Mus musculus: one gene and its partners. The main gene of each other region encodes a partner of the protein of the gene in region 2 in a complex. Links are inferred from orthologs where the notes say so. Each region holds a gene or a part of one and is shown on either strand. Other genes may lie near its edges. The genes, in order: Pold4, Pold2, Rev3l, Pold1 and Pold3.

Region 1 (3,639 bases), on a different chromosome or scaffold from region 2:
TCCTTGCACCCCTGGAAGGAAGAACCGGATGGGCTCTCCAGAGGGTGATTAGTGCTGGGTCAGTCCAAGTGCTGGTTCCCAGACTCCCACGGGCCAGCATTTTCACCCGCTGCCAGGAAGTTGGTGAGGGGGAGGTGGTAGTAGGGGTGAGTCAGTGATGACAGGAGCCCCAAAACAAAGGTCATGGGTAGAGAATTGAGAGACGCTGTTTACAGCAATTACCTCCTGAGGTCTTCTCCCAATGCCTACCATTCTCCTCCAGCTCTAAGGCATTCGTGCTCCTGCTCTCCTGTCCAGGACTAACGACTGTGTATGTCCCTCTCTCTACCGCGCAAGCCTGGGAGCTTCTGCCGCACACGGGAAGCTAGTTAGTTACACAGTAGCTGTTACTAAGAGCACTTCTGCAGCACACGGGAAGCTAGTTAGTTACACAGTAGCTGTTACTAAGAGCACTTCTGCAGCACACGGGAAGCTAGTTAGTTACACAGTAGCTGTTACTAAGAGCACTTCTGCAGCACACGGGAAGCTAGTTAGTTACACAGTAGCTGTTACTAAGAGCACTGATCACAATTTGCCTACACTTCCCACTTGCAAAAAAACTCTTTTGATATCTATTTTGAGTTAGCATGTGGGAGATGCTTAGAACTCGGCACATGGAAAGTCCAATATGAGGGTTGGGTTTATTGAAATTATTTTCTGCTCATGATACACATTCAGAAAAAAACAAAAACAAAAAAACAGAGCAGATCTGTCAGTTAAGAACTGGGGATATGAACCCATGGAGAATGGAGACTATACTTCTGGCGTCCTGCTTGGAATGGAATCTTCCTGACTAGCAAAGTGGACAGAGGCAGGCTGTGGGACTTGACAGCGGCCACAGCAACCGCATGCCTGGGCTGGGTGGACAGTGGCTCTGCCAGCAGACTGTGAGAAAGGAGCCTTCTGAGCTCATGAGTTTCTCCAGCAAGGTCTCCTGGGGCCAGTAAGAGCAGCAGGGAAGGACCTGGACTAGTCCAAACTCTCTTTGGACCTACAGATCTGATCCCACAGCGCTCTAGGGCCAACCGGCAGGAGAAAAAGGTTCTCAGGGGACTTAAAAACTGGCCATGGGGATTAGTGAGGCTGAAAAGAACATTTGCCTAGGAAGGAAAAACGGGAAGTGAGAGGCCGAGGATAACTCTCTATATGTCCCAAGGGACCCAAGTGGACCAATGAGAAACCCGAGGAGGTGGTGAAGTCTGGGGCATCTTGACAGGTTCTTGGTTCCGCCTAACCCCTCCTCACTCGAAACGCAGCAGCAGCTACCCCGCCCCCCGTCTTCTGCCGATTGCCATTGGCTAGAATTAAGGTCCCGCCCCGCAAAGGCCGTTTGCCATTTGCTTAGGTCTCTGATGTTTGCGTGCTTGTGGGGGCGGAAGACAGGCGTCATTCCCTGGAACCTAGGGACTTCCTCTCTCTGCTTGTCTGGGTCAACTTGTCTGTCCATTGCTGGCCCATCTCTCTCTGGCCCCCTCTCTCACTCTCAGCAGCTGTCTCTCACAGGCCCGCTGCCCTGCCTTTTCTTTGCCTCCTGCTCCGCCTGCCTGGGTGGCCGCCATGGGTCGGAAGCGGTTCATCACTGACTCCTATCCTGTTGTGAAGAAGAGGGAGGGGCCCCCTGGGCACAGCAAGGGAGAGCTGGCACCCGAGCTAGGTCTCTAAAATGTGGGGGTGGCAGGAAGAGTGGACATGAAGTGACCAGAAAGGACTCTGTGTGTGTGTGTGTGTGTGTGTGTGTGTGTGTGTGTGTGTGTGTGTGTTGGCTAAAAAGGGAAGCTAGCATGTCTCGCACTTCCGATGAGCTGTCTGTCTGCTGGATGGCAAAGGCAAATGGGTGGGGAGATTGCCAGGATATAGAGTCACAGCTCTAAGTCCAGGGTAGGGCAAAGGCCTGGATGTGCCTGAGGAGCCACCACATGTTATTGCAGGGGAAGACACCCAGTCCCTCAGCCAGGAGGAAACAGAGCTGGAGCTGCTGAGGCAGTTTGACCTGGCCTGGCAGTATGGGCCTTGTACAGGTGAGCACCCCATTTCCAGTCCCTCCCATCAGGCACATCTCTGAATCAGTTCTGTTATCAATGTGTCTCAAAAGTAATCCTGCCTAGCTCTTGGACACTGTCTCCTGAAACTGACTATGGAGGCTCAAGAAACTGCCGTCCATGTCCACTATCCTGGATTCTCCTGCCTATCCTGTCTTCTTTTCCTGATGGCAGGTATCACAAGGCTGCAGCGCTGGAGTCGGGCAGAGCAGATGGGCTTGAAGCCCCCCCTAGAGGTGTACCAAGTGTTGAAGGCACACCCTGAAGACCCTCACTTCCAATGCAGGTCAGGATAGGCTGGGACAGCTTTCAGGGGAACCAGGGACTTCTCCAGGAGCTGCCACCCTCTTGGTCTACGTAGGGGCTACCTTGACTTGGAGAAGTGGGAACAGACTTAGACGGTCCTTCCTGTCAAGCAAGAAGAGTCTGGCTCGAGATAGATCTCGATAATGATCCTTACCTCTATGAGCTGATGGTGGGGGACGGGTATATCTAGGGCCCATGGAGCTATCCATGAGTCCTGAGGTGTTCACCAGAGCCACAGGATTGTAGGCAGTAAGTAAGTAAGAACTAGAGACAGTCCATCAAGGAACAGAACTGATGTGGCTATGACTTCCTTCTCCCACCCTGTCTTCCACAGCCTGTGGCATCTCTACCCACTCTGAGGTACCCCCACGTTGTCCTTCTCTGGGCACCTCCTAGCCACCAAGAACTTCAGGACAGACATCATGGCCTGCTCTGCTCATTCCAACCTTGGAGAAACAGCAGGCTGACTGTGGAGGTCTTCCTGGTTCAGCTTCTTCTCCATCTAAACAGCAGGCTGCTGAAGCTCCTGGGACCTGTGAAGCTGAGCACCTCCACGCCCTAATCATGACCACCAGATGCCCACCCGCCACACCCCTGACCTACGGTGTGGCAAATCCAGCACAGGCTGGCATAAACCAGATGTCGGCAGATAACCTAAAGGGCCCACCTTGGGCATCTAGCTGAGGGCACAGATGAGTGAGTTATTGGATCAAGGAGCTCACTAATGCTTACAATAAAGTACATTAAGCCTGAGATTCTGACCTTACATCTCTTAATATGCTCTAATCTAGCCGGCAGTTCCCAAACTGTAAGTGGGCTGGAGAGCCAGCTACAGGCTTTTTTTTTTTTTTTTTTTTTTTTTTTTTCTTTACTTAGGCTGGCTACAAACTCAGAAATTTGCCTGCCTCTGCTTCCTGAATGCTGAGATTAAAGGGTCCCAATATGGGGCGGGGGACAGTGCTGTGACTGGGATGTAAAGTGATTAATTAATTAACTAATTAATTAATGGGGAAAAGGTTTCACTATGTAGTTCTGTTTGTCCTAGAACTCATTATATAGACCAGGCTGGCTTCTAACTCACAGAAATCTACTTGCCTCTGTCTCCCAAGTGCTGGGGTTAAAGGCTTGTGTTTCTATACCACAAGGCTTCCATATCTATTTTTCTAAGGCAGTCTTTTCAAAAGCTGAGTGGCCTCTGGTATTCCCTGGTAGAAACTCACTCTAAGTTTCCTTCCCTGACCAGCCAGCAGAAAAT
Region 2 (4,291 bases):
GTAGTTCAGAAGGCAGAGTGTTTGCTTAGCCTGCATGAAGCCCCGGGGCTCACTCTCCAGCACTGCATAAAACTCAGGGTAGTGGCACGTGCCTGTAACCCCAGCACTCCAGAGGTGTAGACAGAAAGATCAGGAGTTTAAGGCCCTGTTGCTACACCATGGAATATATTAGACCCGTCTCAAGGAAAAAGTAGAAATAAAGATATTCTGGGATAAAATTTGATGAGTCCATTTCCTTAGACATTTACTGTAAGGAATCCTAAGGAGAGTCCTGCAGACCAAAGGGAACAGCAACCAAAGAGTAAATGGAGAGCTCCAGTCAAGGGGCTGCACAACAACGAGCTCTGTGTCATTGTAACTTTGGATTTTAATTCTACAAAGTGGTTTCAAATCCATCAAATGGGGTTTGTTCCTGGAACACAAGAACGTTGCAACATAATCAAATATGCAACAGGCTACTTGAGACAGTAGGCAAAAATCCGCACTCAGCCCAGCTTACAAAGGAAAAAATACTCAACAAACTGAAACATTAAAAACAAATGATTTAGCCGGGGGTGGGGGTGCACGCCTTTAATCCCAGCACTTGGGAGGCAGAGGCAGAGGCAGGTGGATTTCTGAGTCCGAGGCCAGTCTGGTCTACAAAGTGAGTTCCAGGACAGCCAGGGCTATACAGAGAAACCCTGTCTCGGGGGGAAAAAAATGATTTAATTCATTATTAAAACAGGAACGAGGGAAACCTTGTCTCAAAAAGCAAAAACAAACAAAAACAGAAACAAGGGGCTGGAGAAAGCTCGGTTGAGAGCTCTTTCAGAATGGCTCACAACCATTTGTAATTCCAGTTCCAGGTGACACGGACGCTCTCTTCTCGCCTCCGAGGAGACTGACCTCACATGCGTGCAGGCAAAACACACCCACACACAAAACAAAACAAAATAAATTCAAAATAAAACAAAAAAACTTAGTAAGCCAGAAGAAACCTACCTTAAGTAATAAGTTTCAGACTGAGTAATTAGGCAATTTTAAAAAGGAGCAATGTTACCACTGAAGTCTGATGCACTTGCAGTCAGGGTGTCTTAGTGTGAATTCTAGCTTTTCTCACTAGCTGGGTCATTTTGCCTGTTTCCCTGCCTGTGAGATGGGAGAAATTGTTCATGCTTCCAAGGGAATCTGAGAAGTCAGGGTGAGAATCACAGCGCAGGATAGAGTGGGAGGGAAGCTTCAGCCACACAGGAGCCACCAGACCCCCAGCGCTCGGGGAGAGCAGCATGAGCCAGGCGCCCAGCCTCACTACGGCCCACGCTACCCAAGGAGTTCACCCGATGAGGCCCAGCCGCAAACACCGCATGCGCACAGGAAACCCAGTGCTAAGTGATGGGTTGTCCCGGGAACCGGAGGCGTGACTCCGCGTTTCCTCGGTCCAGAGGCGGGGCGCACGGGGATTGGCTGGATGAAGCGTGCAGCGATGGGCGGGATGGGGCGGGAGGCGATTGGCTGGATGCGCCGATGGGCGGGACGGGCGCGCAGAGATTGGCGGGATGCGGCGTGGCGCGGTGAGTGTGCTGCTGAGCGGGGTTAACGTGGGTCCTGGGTCAGACTTGGCGGTACCTGGACAGCGGGCCGGGGTCTTGAGGGTGCTTCGAACTGTAACATGGGCCCGAGCTGGGCGTGTCTGCTTCGGGGCAGGTCTCCCGTCGGGTCCGGCCTGGAGCACCGTGTGGGCCGCTGCCACCACCGTGCGTTTTTGGCTTACATCCAGTTTACATGTGCCCATTTGGCAAATTCATAGGGTCCGCTCCCTAAGCCAGAGCTGCGCATTAAAGAAAGCCGAACCAGCTAGGGGAATTTGAACTTTGTAATAGCTGTACCAAAAAAAAAAAAAAAAAAGTAAAATGAAAAAGAAAGCTGTGTTCAAAACTTCCGTTACTACATCCAGCCTGTTGTCGTCTCAACTACGCATGAAGAATATGTTGAGATACTTTATACTAAAGTCCGCTGTGCATCCATCCCCAAGCACATCTTAGTGGGAAGGGGTGCAATACAAGAAAACAAACCTCTGCGCTGCCGGAGCTTAGGCAACAGTTGGAGGAGGCAAAGTAAATGCTTGAGAGATGATAATGATGCAGACAGTTGAAGTAGCAATGCAGTCAATTAGATATGGGAAGGTGAGTTTTAAGGAAAGACTTGAAAGGGAAGAGCCAGTAAGCCTTGGGGAAAAGGAGAGGACCCAGCAGGAGTAGAGAGGCCTCTACTTGGAGCCCCTGCTGTGGAAGGGACACTTGGAAGGAGAAACAGATAGGAGGGGGGAGCTGTTCTTAGAGGCCCAGAGCTGATCTTACAGGTCGTGGTAAGAACTTGGGGTTTTATTTACTGAAAAGCAACCTTTGGGGGGTTTTGAGCAAAACAGGGGCAGCTTTATGCTTTATTTTTTATCACTAATTATATTATGACAGGCTTCTTCAGTGATGCCTGATAGCATCCCTAGAGGTAGCAGAGGTCCCAGGGAGCTGGGCAGAAGCAGATCAATAATTCCATTTGAGGGTATGCAGAATTTGAGACCCTGGTGATTGGGTAGAAATGTGGAGAGGAGGAGGTGATGAACAAGGTTTGGAACGAGCTCCAGGTTGTATCTGACTAGGTTATAGGATGACACCTCCGGACACATGTGTGCACATTGTGGACAGCGTGGTTGGGACACTAGGGGAGCTTTGGGTACAAGAAGGGATTGCAGGAATGCCTTTGTGTGTCTCTGCAGTGATAACTCCTCGGCCTGGACACAGCTGCTTGGACCAAACAAGCCAGGAGTGCCGCCATGTTCTCCGAGCAGGCAGCACAGAGGGCCCACACTCTGCTCGCCCCGCCCTCTGCCAGCAATGCCACCTTTGCCCGGGTACCTGTGGCAACTTACACCAACTCCTCACAGCCCTTCCGACTGGGAGAGCGCAGCTTTAACCGGCAGTACGCCCATATTTATGCCACCCGCCTCATCCAGATGAGACCGTTCCTGGTGAGCCGGGCGCAGCAACACTGGGGTAAGTTTGGGGTACGCTGCTCCCAGCAGCCCAGCAGCTAGAACTAGGACCTTATCTAACCTGGAATACTTTCCAGCTACCATGGAATGGCCCCTTCAGCTCCCTGCTTCTTCTTAAAAGTGAGGATTAAATTAACCTGTGTGGTTAAAGTTGGGTTTGGCCCAGAGTCTGGTCAGAGGTAAGGGCTAGGTTCTGGCAGTGATGGCTACTGTTCCATCCATGGAGGAAATGGTCTTCCTATCCTTATTGTCTTCAGTGTGAATTGGTCACTGGTGTGCACCCTTTAGCTAGAGAGCTCCTCATAGCAGCAGGCTTGGCACCTTGGTCTTTGAGGGATGGACACACCCAGGCCATAGCAGAGCCACAGCAGGTGGGAGTGTGGAATCTGCAGTTTATGTTGGCATCCAATGCTTCTGTGTGGTGTTAGCCCTTTTCTTCTGTGGATGGAGCTCACGGTGGAGCTCTGAGGCATGCTCCTGGCTCTTCCAGGGCAGGACTGCGGTTCTGGCCCAGCCTCCACTTCGCCCTGCCTCCTCAGCAGTTTGTCCCAGGATTGGTCTGTGCTGATGAGTCCCTGGAACTCTCTGGAACTTGCTTTCCTTCTTCCTGCCCAGCGTGGCTTTCTACATCTTTCATGCTGGGCGTGTGGAGCCTTCACACGTGTTCTGGTTTTCCTCCTGGGGATGTTGAATGAACAAGGCTGCTAACTCCACAGAGAATAGAGTGGGCTGGGGTGGAGGGGACACAGAGGTGAAGGATCGGGCAGAGCAGGGGCTGGCATGAGAATCCAAAGTCTTAGCTAGGCCTTTAATCTTAGTACTGGGGAGGCAGAGGCAGGTGGATCCCCGTGAGTTCAAGGCCAGCCTGGTCTATGGAGTGAGCTCCAGGACAGCCAGAGTTATTTCATAAGACCCTGTCTGGAAAATAAAAGACTGCAGAGTCTTAAGGACATGGTAGTTGTCAGCACAGAGCATGTGACAGGCATGTAGGTAATATACTTCAGTTACTTCCCGTGTCCATGGTAACAAAGTACTGTATGTAAACAGGGGACTTAGGACAACACACATGTATTCTCCTATGGTTCTGGAGGTGTAAAGTCTGAAATCAAGTCAGCAGGGCTGATTTCTTGTAGAACAGTGCCTCTCAGCCTTCCTAATGCTGCGGCCCTTTAATGCAGTTCCTCATGTTGTGGTGACCCCCAACCATAAAGCTATTCTCATTACTGCTTCACGGCTGTGTTTTTTGTACTGTTTTGAATTGTA
Region 3 (3,513 bases), on a different chromosome or scaffold from region 2:
GGGCGCTAGGATCTGAAGCAGCAAGCATCTCAGTGACTGAGCCATCTTCTAAGCATCCCCATGCCCCAGAATGTTTTCTTAGAAACTTATATCCTATAGGTTTTATTGTTAATAATTAGCACACATTTAACTTAGTAAACACAAAAACTTTAAGGGAAAAACCTCTGTCCTATAGCCAAGTAAAACAAAACAACCAATTTAATTAGGAAGAATGAACATGTATTAAGGGTAAAGAGAAGACTTGTATACATAATTCTAAAATTTCAAAATATTTTCTAATTTAATTTCTATAAACTAAATTTTAGTTATTAATTTTGCAAAAATGTGAGAATATAAATCAATCTCAGTAACTGGTCAATATTTACTTTTTTCTGTTTTACACAAGTACAGTAGAATAGCAAGATGGAGATCAACAAAGAGAATTTAATATATCCCTTTCTGGTTAAACATTTCCATCCTTGTCCTATGGACAAATCCTGCTAACTAAGCATAGTGTGTGCAGCCTTAAAGCTGCAGTTTTACCTCGTGTAAAGCCTTTGCCTCCTGTAAGTTCTGTATGCTGACTTTGAAACCGTAGGTATTGTTTAAGGACGGTCCATCAATCTGAGAAGTTTCTTTCTTTGGAGTATTTACTGCCGCAAACTGATTCTATTTAAAAAAAAAAAAAAAGGCACATTCAGAAAGGGCATAAGCAACCATTCTTTCTTTGGATTATTCTTGCTTAAACATTTTATGTACTTAGTAATAAATAATGAACATGATAAACATAAAGATTCTCTTTAAGTTTAAGAAAAAGTTTATTAACATTCATTTTATTTTAGTAACTGTAGAATAGGATGCAATCTATAAACAAACCCTGATTGACAAGCCCCAATCCTGAAAGCAGTGGTCAGGCAGAGCTCACATATACTTATATCATTTACACTACATCACTACATGGATATGGACCTTGACCTTTCTTGAAAGAACATCAAGTATTTAACATTTACAACTGCTTGGCTAACATTTGCAAATGGTGCACCTTACCCCACTCTACACATATTGGAGAAAAGCTTTCAAGCATTTAGAATAGACACTTCCTATTTCTTTTACAATTTTCTTCTTTTCTTGCTGCCCCCCCCCTCTTTTGTTAGCCATGTCTCATGCTACTGCCCAGATTGGCCTAGTACTCATGGTGATCCCTGTCTCAGACTCCCCAATGCTGGGATTACATGTGTGACCAACCATATCCAGCTCTCTCTGTTCTTAAAATACCTCTTATGCTATTTAAGTAGATTAACCATTTTATGTAACATGTTGACTTATGTTTACAATGCACTGCTACTTGTTTTTAATATCAATAGGTTATAATTCAAAACCTTTATAAATCAAAGTTTGTAGTATAGCCTCAGTATAAAAATACATCTTATATGTAATGACCTTTCTGAGTAGTAGATAATATGGAAGTGGTTTCTGTCATTTATTTCCAAAGATAATGTCTAATATGTATAGAAGTTCTACCTGACTACTGCTTTCATACTTCTCAATTAAGAACTATCATATCTTTAGTATTTGAATAAGGACAGTTATAATTCCTCAACTTCAATAATACATAATGCTGCTTTCTTTTGTAACTTGGTGAAGAAAATTAAAAATTAAGTAATATTTGGGAAAAAACCCAAAGAAAAAAATATATTTTTGTTGAGATTTAAAAAAAAAAATCACTTATTTAGTCAGGTGGTGGGCGTACACGCCTTTAATCCCAGTACTTGGGAGACGGAGGCAGGTGAATCTCTGCTCGTTTGAGGCTAGCCTGGTCTACAGAATGAGTTCCAGGACAGCTGGGGCTCTATTACACAGAGAAATCCTGTTTCAAAAACAAAACAAAACAAAACCAAACAACAGAACACCAACTCAAGCAACTGAACCATTCCTTAAGCTCTGCTGTGATAAGATGCTCTGATGCTGTTACCAGCTAATGTATATGTATCGGCATAACCTACATTCTGGCTGTCATAGTCACTGTCTCTGGAATATTTGCATTTACACATAAGAATCTTTTCTATCCCAACAATAAAAAACTAGATTTTTCTCAAAGATGTGTAAATAATGATGGCAAAAATAATACACATTAAGTTAGTACACAGAGAGCTCTGAAGCGCAGACTTGGCCTTGCACTGAGCTGTAGGTGTCTGGCACAGTTACCTCCACTTGCGTTGTCAGGAGAACTCTCCTGAGACCATCAGCATCACTTCCTTTCTTATTATACAACTTCTGGGTTTTTGGTTCTGTAGAAAGAAATTTCATTTTTAACTTGTACATCTGCTTCTCTTTCTTAAAGCAAATTTTGTTGTTTCAATCAAATATCATTTGTGAATACTGCTATATGCATTTTTTCAGATTTCATAATTTTAAAATGAAATTAAAACCTCCAATTTCTACAAAATACTTCATACTTCTACATTTTAAAATAAGCACATTTATGTTTTACTACTGAGCTAGAAAACTTAGTCATTACTCTTGGGGCTAATTCACTCATTTATCATGTGTTTCTGATGAGGAGGGAGTGACATAGTTTCTTTTGTATTCTAGAAAGAATTGTATATGGAAGTGAAATGACAACAGTTTCCCTTATCTGTGCTGATTGTTCTGGAACCTCTGGCTTCTGTTTACACTGTTTTGCTCTACCTACCTACCCCCATAATAATAGCTTTTAATTCATAAACTAGGCCCAGTAAGATTAACAAACCCAGTAATAAAACAGAATTATAATATACTCTAATAAGTTACATGCATGTTAGCTCTTTCTCAAACATTCTTATTTTCCCCACTGTTTCAAAAAGACTGTGTTTTCCTGTTCCCCTTGGCATCTATGAATCTATAAATGGTCAGCACCATTACTTCTATGCTCCAGAGCCATGAAGTAAAATAAAGGCTATTTGAACATGAGTGCTCCAATCCCACAACAGTTGGATGGAGTACTGAGACAACTACTAAATGATGAAAAAGGGTATCATGGATAGAATGCATACATCAGACAAAGAGATGGTTCATATTTCATGATATTCAAAATAGCACATGACTTAAAACTTATGGATCATGTACTTACAGAGTATTATAAGAGTATTTTTGGACTGCAGTTGTCTGTATGCAACTGAATTTCCTACAAACCAAATTCTGAGTGAGGGAGGAACTAATTGAGAATTTATATCTATCTAATTAAAGCTTGGTGTCTTTGAACTGAAATATGTGTAGTAGGTACACATAAATTATTTCTTCTGATTGCCATGCACCGAGAGTGTCTAAGAAGGCCTGTAGACACTTAGGCCAGAGATGATAATAAGCCACATAAGGTTGTGGTGGCAGAGATAAAATGAAAGAACTTGGTAATGGATTGAAAATCAAGGTGCTTACCAAGACAATCAGGTGGTGCTACATATATATTGTGTCTGACTCTGGTGACTGACGGGGTCATAGTACTATTCACTGAGAGAGAGAGACAGAGACAGAGAGAGAGAGAGAGACAGAGAGACA
Region 4 (3,513 bases), on a different chromosome or scaffold from region 2:
CGGGTGAGCAGGTACCCAAGGGGTACACCCGTGACACGCGCCATCTCCACATTATTCACCAGCACCATAAGGCGCTCTAGTAGTCGGAGTGGCAGAAAGGCGTCCTTCAGGCAGTACACGGCCAGGCGGCGGCGCGTCTGTTCGTTCCCATTCTGGGGATGGGCATGTGGGGTCAGGGGCTCAGTCAGTCAGGGGCTCAGCCAGGAGGGAGGCGGGGAGGGACTTGGTGGAGTGGCGGCACCTGCAGGTCGGTGATGATGCTGTGCTGAACGTCCTCCTTCTGCTCGCCCAGGAAGTGGAAACTCACAGCGTTGAGCGTGTAGGAGCGGAGCTTGTGTTCCCGAAGCAGCACCTGCGCAGGTTGGGGTGGGGCGGGGCCTCAGAGGTGTGGGGAAGGGTATCTCCACGCAACCTCAAGAGTCGTGGGATGGGGTCTAGAGGGTCTGTGGTACTTAGGTGGGTGGGTCAGGGTGCCGCCTCAGGTGGGTGGAGCTTCTGTTTAAGGCAGCGTGTTGGGGGCTGGGGAGGGCGAGTGGGGTTCCTACATACCTGCAGCATATCCATCTGAACGCGACCCACCATGCTGATCACCTTACTGTCCCGCCGGCCGACCTGCCTTGATTGGAAGGAGGAGTCACGGATGTTGGAGCGGAGACCAGTCACGCGGCCCAGGAAAGGGAAGCGGTCCACCTGAGGAGCATGGGGAGAGCCTTGCTGTGGTGCAGACCTGTCAGCTCAACTCTGAATCTAGCCTTAGGCCCTCAGAACAGGGACAGAGACCAGCCATGGCACTCCTGGGTCTGGAGAAGATGAGCTGCAGGCGGAGACTGCTTGGGTGGGACGAGGTATTGATCAGGGACAGAGTTGAGAGCTATAGCCCCGGGGAGACTGAGAGACTGGGGGCCTGATGGGCTATAGGTAGAGACATGGACTATTGGGGGAGGGCAGAGAAGACAACAGGGGCGGCGCTGGGGTACAGTCTGGCAGAGAGAGGGAGTCTTAGAGGAGAGGGGCTGAGGGTGAGGTGCCCAGGACACAATGGTAGGGTCTCCCTGCAGCCAGGCAGTGAAGTCGGCTCTGCCTACTCATCACCAAATGGGCTACAGCTGCAGAAAGCAGGAAAGTGATACAGTGTATCCTGTTCGGGCAGATTCCCCTCTGTGCATCGCCCAGGACCCCTCTTGTAACAGAGCTTGCCCTAGAAAAAGGACGCAGGGAGACTTGACTGAGGCACAGAAGAAAGGCCCAAGCAGATGCAGCCCAGGAAGGCCATTAGAACCAGGCCCAGGAGGGGAGGGCCTGCCTGCCCTCAGGCTCACTAACACCCAGAGGGTCACCTCTGCAGCCTCCTGCACCGGGTAAGTGTGCAGCTGGCTACAGTGGAAGTGTGAAAAGGCTCACTCTTCCCTTTCCATAGCACCCAGCCTTTGCCGCGCTCCAAAGCATGTACCCCTTTCCTCTTCCATGCCCCCGTTTCCCCTTCCCCCTTGCCAGTGAATTCTAAAGGAGGCCTGGCTATGGAGGCAGAGACAGTGACGCAGTGACGGTGATGGTGTGGAGGGCCGGACTCTCAAGGCGCCCGCCTCCTGTCCACAGCGACGAATTTCCGGCTCCAGCTAAAGTGAGGTAACGCACACCTGGACTCCAGAGCAGCCGGCTGGCCCGGGGCAAGGATGGCCTCGAGGGATGGGAAAAGATCCAGCTTCCCTCACCTTTAGGGCCTGTGCCCGAGAGATGAGGTATGGGAGGTCAAAGTTCTGAATGTTGTAGCCGGTGATCACGTCAGGGTCCATGGCAAGGATGAAGTCGGCCCAGGCCTGTGGAGGGGACGGACACAAAGGCCAACCAGGCTGTCTTTACCTCAGCTACCTTCTCTTCAGAATATCCAAGACAACCTCCGCACTTGCAAAAACGCCGTGGAACTCAGGAAAACACACAGCCCAACCCCGAGGACACGGTGTCGTCCTAGAGAAGGGTCACTGGCATGGCTGGGGACACAGGGCAGGTGGCACCTGAGGAGGGAGGACCCACCTGGAGCAGGTCTTCTTCCCGCTCATAGCTCTGCACTTTGGCACCCAGGATGGGGGCACAGGGCCGCAGCGTGAGTGCCAGACGCAAGAATGGCTCCGGCTCCCCCCAGCGCAGCCCCAGAGAACAGATCTGGATCACGGGGTCACGCTCAGGCTCAGGGAAGATGCCTGCAGAGGGGAAGACACAGGGACCTCATTCCTGCTCGTCCCCTGTCCCGGTCCATCCACGGTCCCCACACCTGCTCATCCACAGCCTCTCAGCTCCAGCCCCTGTTCCAGCCACATGGGTGGGACAGCCCCAGGCCCTGGTGCCTTTGTGCTCAGGGCTCTCTCTGTAGGGAGCACTCCTTCCACCCACTCACCCCTCCACAGGGGCCTGGCACATCACCAATGCCCAGACAGAGAGAAGGAGCCCAGGCTCCCGGGACAAACCTTTTCGGCCAGCACACTCGATGTCGAAGCTAAGCACACGCAGGGGTGCAATGCGCTGCCACTGCCCCTCCGGTGGGTGACTGATCACATCTGACCACAGCACGTCCACCTCCAGCTGACACAGGGTGGCCTGGGGAAAGGTAGCGGGTTGCACAAGGTAGGAGCGACATCGGCACCAGGTCCTGGCTCCCCACCCCGCCCCGGGGTGCTCTTACCTTCTTCTCCGCCCTCCGAACGTACTTTCCAGCTGGCAGCTCCAACCAGTTGCATCCCACAATGTCAGCATCCACCATGAACCTGGAAGAGTGGCGTGTCAGTTGGCAAGGGCCGCCTGAGGGGACTGAGGCGGGAGTAGGGCAAAGGGGAGACAGGACAGCACCGGATCTCAAAGTCCACGTTGGCTTCGTAGGGTGCGAAGCTCGGGGTGCCCAGGCCTGGCACTCGGACACCCTGTTCCAGAAGGCGGCGGGCTGGTGCCATAAGGCGGGGTAGTGCCAGGGTGATGCGGAGAAATGGAGAAGGGCCATGACCGTGGTACCCAAACATGCCTGCGGAGAAAGGAGGTTGGCACACACCTACCAGGGCACCCTACCCCCACCCCCCACCCCCCCAGGCCACACTCACTCTCACGGGAGCATAGCTCTATTGCCAGCACTGCCGGCCCTGAGAGCTCCTTCCCACCGCGCTGGTCCCGGCTGATGGCTGCGTTCAGCTCCTGCTGCAGCTCACTCAGGTGCTCGGCCCCAAAACCTGGTGTAGGAGGCCAGTCAGAAGAGCAAAGGAAATTCTGGAGTCCAGGAACAAGGCCCTCAGGTCAGGGAACACTCACCAGGAGGCGCGGGGGTGTAGAAGTAGGGGGCAAAGCCCTGTATGTGGCAGCAGACGGAGAAGCCTTCATCGGTGACCCCAAAGGCCCTCAGTATGGGCACTGAGTTCCGGGATGGCAGGGGCCCTTCTGGCAGGGGTGGTGCTGAGCCTAGGGGAGGGGTCCGAGAACACCCCTCAGGACCGGAGGCCACACTGAAGGATGTCACTGATGCCTCGGGGCCTC
Region 5 (4,218 bases), on a different chromosome or scaffold from region 2:
AGAGTAGCTGAGTAGGAAGCTGAGAGCTCCCATCTTCAAATGCAAGCACAAGCAATAAATCAGAGAAAGTAACCATGAAGTGGAGGAAGGCCATAAACAACCAAGCCTGCCTCCAGCACCTCCAGTGCCTCCAGCAAGGCTGCACCTGCTAAACCTCCCAGGAAGGTGCCACCAACTGGGGACCAAGAGGTCAAATATCTAGGGGGACTCATTCTCATTCAAATCACTACAAAATTGGCTGCAAACTATCACAACACATTTGCATACGAGTCCACTGATCTACGGGAAAAACAGGGCTGGGGAAAAACTCACTGGGTCAAAGGCCCACCAGCAAGCATGAGGACCGGAGGTCGGATCCCCAGAACCCAAGCAAGCAAAGCTGGGTAAGTAGCATATTCCTGTATTTCCAGATCTCCTGTGGGGAGAGGGAGGCAGAGACCAAAGTATCCTCAGAAGCTTGCAGGCCAACCAGTGTGCTGTACACAGCAGAGAATAACAAGAGACCCCCACCTCAAACCGGTCAGAAAGGCAGGAATGAAACCAAGACGGTCCTCTGACCTTGCCCTGTGCCCTGTAGCCTGTGTGCATACACATTTACATACATGAACACACACAGTTCAAAAGACAGACAAAAGTAGTCAAAAGGCAGAGAAAGTAATATTCTTTCCTATTGACCCAGGTAGAAAGTCAGTTCTAACCTAAGAGTTAGTTCTATGAGAATTAAAACAAAGTGAACGTTTTCTTTAAGGGGCTGGCCACTGGGAGTCTGACCATGTCCCATGACTATACAGGCAACTCAGATTGGACTCATTTGTGTGTGTGTTGGACCTGGAAGGACTGGGAAATGAGTGTGAGTGGGGTGCATGATGTGAAAATTCCAAATAAACAATAAAAAGATGATGCTGAAAATAATAAATAAAAACAAAGTGAAAGAAAAATTCCAATATTATTAAAATTAGCAGTCAAATGAACTTACTGTTTGGCCTGGTTAACATGAACCCCTAGTGTATAGCTTAGCCACTTGTAAGTCACCTGAAACAAAAAACAATTTTTAAGGTTTTATTAGCTGATTCCAGAGTACAGATAAGTGCCAAGAGCCTGTTCCTAGGGACTCTTATTCTCGGATGGCTGTGTCCTGTAAACTACAGCAGATACCAACAAGAAAAAAACCATATGACAAGTAAGGCCAGGGTACTTACCTTACAAACACTAAGATGCTTCACAGACTGATCAATGCAAAAGAATCTACAAAGGTGGGTCAGAGAGATGGGCAGTGGGGAAAGGCACTTGCTACCACACCCTTAAGAACCTGGGTTTGGCCGGGCGGTGGTGGCACACGCCTTTAATCCCAGCATTTAGGAGGCTGAGGCAGGAGGATTTCTGAGTTCAAGGCCAGCCTGGTCTACAGAGTGAGTTCCCAGGACAGCCAAGGTTATACAGAGAAACCATGTCTCGAAAAACAAACAAACAAAAAGAGCCTGGGTTTGATTTGTTGGATTCGTACGGTGGAATGAGAGAACTGGTCCTCTGACATCCATAATTGTGACATAGCACAATTATGTGTGTGTGTGTGTGTGTGCGCGCGCGCACGCGCATGACACTAAACATAATAAGAAAAGTCTTAAGAGTCTACAAAGCCAAGCCAAAGATTATTTAGCTCAAACTCCTTGTCTTACTTAAAAGCTCTCTGACCCTCTTGTCTTTAAGAAGCTACCTAAAACTATCCTAAAATTTATCTAAAACCTAGCATTACTTGAAAGCACATAACCCAGGAACTTCTCAGTAAATTTGCAACTATTCAAATGTTAAGAGGAACAGGTGGTGTGGGAATCAAAAAAAAAAAAAAAGAGAGAGAGAAAAATGGATAAATGTAGTATGGGGTAATTTCAAGAACTAGGGGCATCGAGCCTCCATCCTTCCCTGACCCGGTATGTCTGTTGTTTCTTCCAAAGCTAAACGATGCACTCCCAATAAGAGGACTAATAAAGATTGGTCAGAGGCAGAGTGGCAGACAGAGGCAGAGGGGAAAGAGACAGACCTGGGATTCAAGAATTTATCTATCCAGCCCTAATGGCCCTTGACGCGTTTATACACGTCATTTGACCCTTGGCTAAATCCCACTTCTAGGGATAACACAAAAGCCTGGAGGACCCGGGAGGTGTGAGTCGGTGTACCAAACTGTGTCCATGGGCTCACAGCAGCAAAGGTCCATCACACCCAAGTCTCTTCATTTTTACGCTAGCCCGAGGAGGTGGGTCAAGCTGCTTTCAATATTTAAATTTCCAGGAAGAGGAAACTGTCTCTGGTGGGTAAAGCACCAGGCAGTCGCCTATGAAAGTCGGCCAGTCTCAACTGTCTTGAGGGGCCACCACCCGACAGAGCAGGGAAAGGAAGCCTCACGAACCCCGCTGGCTTCCCAGGCTCCACGCCCCCGGACCTCACAATCCCGCCCAAGGCCCCGGGGCTTGGGCGCGCGCCAGAAGCTCTGCCCGCAGGGCGTGTCTCCCTACGCGGGTTTCGCGGTGACCAGTGGCCACCTCAGCCGGTCCCCGAGAAGCCACAGGCACCGGGGGTCGCGACCCCTCGCCGACCGGGCAGGCCCAGTCCCCCGCACACCCGCCTCGCACGGCCCCGCCTTCCCCACCCCCGTGGTCCTAGCTCCTCACGATCTTGTTCTGGTCCGTGACGAACTCGTCTATGTTTTCTAGATACAGCTGTTCCGCCATGGTGGTGCGGCTTCGAGCCCCGCGCTCAACCCGCCCCAGCCGTAGCTCCCGCCGGCGGGAAACAGCTTCGCTCACTCTCGGGTCACAGGTCGTCTCCCAGGGCAACCAAGGCGCCGCGCTACGGCGGCGGGTGAGGGCCAAACTAGTGAGAGGCCAGCCAGGGCTGATGTAGGGGGAAGTTGGAGCGAGACCGACCGGAAGTGAGGCGCGAGCCCGTGGTTGTCGGTGTGCACCTGAGAACGTTGCGATTTCTCTGCTACCACAAGTAGACTGACTCATAACCTTATATTTCACCGCTGGGGGCGGGGGAGTGCTGTGGCCAAGAGTACACATGGAGCCTACATTGTAAAGGAGAGGGAGGAGGGGGAAGAGGGGGAGGAGGGGTGGCTTAAAAGAGTTGGTGTCAGGCGTGGTGGTGCAAAAGCAAGCAGATCTTTGTGAGCTGAAGACCACCCTGTTCTACCCATGGAGCTCCAACCTAGCCAGAGCTACCAAGTAAGAGTCACTAGATTAGGGACATGATCTTTGGGTCAACCAGGAGTTTCCCGGAAGATGTGAAAAGACTGGGGAAAAGAGCAGACGAGAAATCAAATCATTCTATTTGGCTGGAGTTATAAGTGAGACGATACACATAAAACCTTCAAGCTGTGCTCACCACGATCACACTAATAATAGCTGGTAACTGTGTTGTTACACGACAAACATATTGAGCAAGTGCTTTGAAAATGAAATTTCATTTAGTCTCATAGAAACCCAGCAAATGCATTGTGTGGTTTTCATAGAGAATCATAACAGATGCCTGTAAATAAACCCAAGATCATGTCAAAGAGATTACAGTTGTGTCTACAAATACACTGAAAGGTTTTAGGGTCAAAAACAAATCAGAGAAGAGTATCCCTTGGAATTTTCCCTCCCACGAATTAAGAGATGAAGAAAGTCTTTTAGTTTCATGTATATTCCCCAGATATATCACAATTACTTACTTACTGAGTAACTAGCATGTGGTGGGCATCTCTAGCAGTGACCCTAATCCTCAAGTAGTCTTGTTAGATTTTATTATCCCTTTATACACACACACACATACAAAAGATGAGGTCCCATCATTTCAAACCACCTTCATGTTGTTCATGGGAAGAGTGACTAGGAAACAACTGCAAGGACTTTGAGACAGGGTTTGTGTAAACAAAAACTATTTTAAGTATGATCTTGGGGCCAATGAGATAGCTCAGTGGGTAAAGTGCTTGCAGCACAGACCTGATGACCTGAGTTCAGTCCCAGGGAGCCACATAAAGATGGCAGGAGAGAACTGATTCCTTGGAGTCATCCTTTGGTCTCCACACACCATGGTACATGCAGGCCCATGTATATGCACAAAATAATTAATAAATAAAAATTCAAACTTACTGTATTCATAATGTCAGAACACCCACGTGTAATAGACTCTCAGCAAATGAATTTTGCTTGAAGTTTGGTTACAATGAAGGCATTGAGA

What was found.
Region 1: Pold2 (region 2) and Pold4 share a complex: the UniProt entries of both Homo sapiens proteins name them as parts of the tetrameric DNA polymerase delta complex. The link is inferred for Mus musculus from reciprocal best matches to the Homo sapiens genes POLD2 and POLD4.
Region 3: Pold2 (region 2) and Rev3l share a complex: the UniProt entries of both Homo sapiens proteins name them as parts of the tetrameric Pol-zeta complex. The link is inferred for Mus musculus from reciprocal best matches to the Homo sapiens genes POLD2 and REV3L.
Region 4: Pold2 (region 2) and Pold1 share a complex: the UniProt entries of both Homo sapiens proteins name them as parts of the tetrameric DNA polymerase delta complex. The link is inferred for Mus musculus from reciprocal best matches to the Homo sapiens genes POLD2 and POLD1.
Region 5: Pold2 (region 2) and Pold3 share a complex: the UniProt entries of both Homo sapiens proteins name them as parts of the both the DNA polymerase delta and DNA polymerase zeta complex. The link is inferred for Mus musculus from reciprocal best matches to the Homo sapiens genes POLD2 and POLD3.

The regions. Positions count from the first base shown.
Region 1 is NC_000085.6:4,230,496-4,234,134, forward strand, and holds Pold4 (DNA polymerase delta subunit 4), read left to right. Parts: upstream 1-1,397; 5' UTR 1,398-1,596; coding exon 1,597-1,693; intron 1,694-1,919; exon of another isoform or gene 1,920-1,967; coding exon 1,968-2,057; intron 2,058-2,252; coding exon 2,253-2,364; intron 2,365-2,718; coding exon 2,719-2,743; 3' UTR 2,744-3,139; downstream 3,140-3,639. UniProt on the Homo sapiens protein: As a component of the tetrameric DNA polymerase delta complex (Pol-delta4), plays a role in high fidelity genome replication and repair.
Region 2 is NC_000077.6:5,875,451-5,879,741, reverse strand, and holds the start of Pold2 (DNA polymerase delta subunit 2), read left to right. Parts: upstream 1-1,485; 5' UTR 1,486-1,550; intron 1,551-2,078; exon of another isoform or gene 2,079-2,162; intron 2,163-2,752; 5' UTR 2,753-2,809; coding exon 2,810-3,029; intron 3,030-4,291. UniProt on the Homo sapiens protein: Accessory component of both the DNA polymerase delta complex and the DNA polymerase zeta complex.
Region 3 is NC_000076.6:39,829,653-39,833,165, reverse strand, and holds part of Rev3l (DNA polymerase zeta catalytic subunit), read right to left. Parts: intron 2,268-3,513; coding exon 2,185-2,267; intron 649-2,184; coding exon 523-648; intron 1-522. UniProt on the Homo sapiens protein: Catalytic subunit of the DNA polymerase zeta complex, an error-prone polymerase specialized in translesion DNA synthesis (TLS). Lacks an intrinsic 3'-5' exonuclease activity and thus has no proofreading function.
Region 4 is NC_000073.6:44,538,813-44,542,325, forward strand, and holds part of Pold1 (DNA polymerase delta catalytic subunit), read right to left. Parts: intron 3,439-3,513; coding exon 3,292-3,438; intron 3,213-3,291; coding exon 3,087-3,212; intron 3,011-3,086; coding exon 2,842-3,010; intron 2,760-2,841; coding exon 2,678-2,759; intron 2,593-2,677; coding exon 2,463-2,592; intron 2,199-2,462; coding exon 2,032-2,198; intron 1,818-2,031; coding exon 1,713-1,817; intron 691-1,712; coding exon 550-690; intron 353-549; coding exon 242-352; intron 153-241; coding exon 1-152. UniProt on the Homo sapiens protein: As the catalytic component of the trimeric (Pol-delta3 complex) and tetrameric DNA polymerase delta complexes (Pol-delta4 complex), plays a crucial role in high fidelity genome replication, including in lagging strand synthesis, and repair.
Region 5 is NC_000073.6:100,118,698-100,122,915, forward strand, and holds the start of Pold3 (DNA polymerase delta subunit 3), read right to left. Parts: upstream 2,804-4,218; 5' UTR 2,727-2,803; coding exon 2,667-2,726; intron 2,666-2,666; exon of another isoform or gene 1,200-2,665; intron 1,033-1,199; coding exon 977-1,032; intron 1-976. UniProt on the Homo sapiens protein: Accessory component of both the DNA polymerase delta complex and the DNA polymerase zeta complex.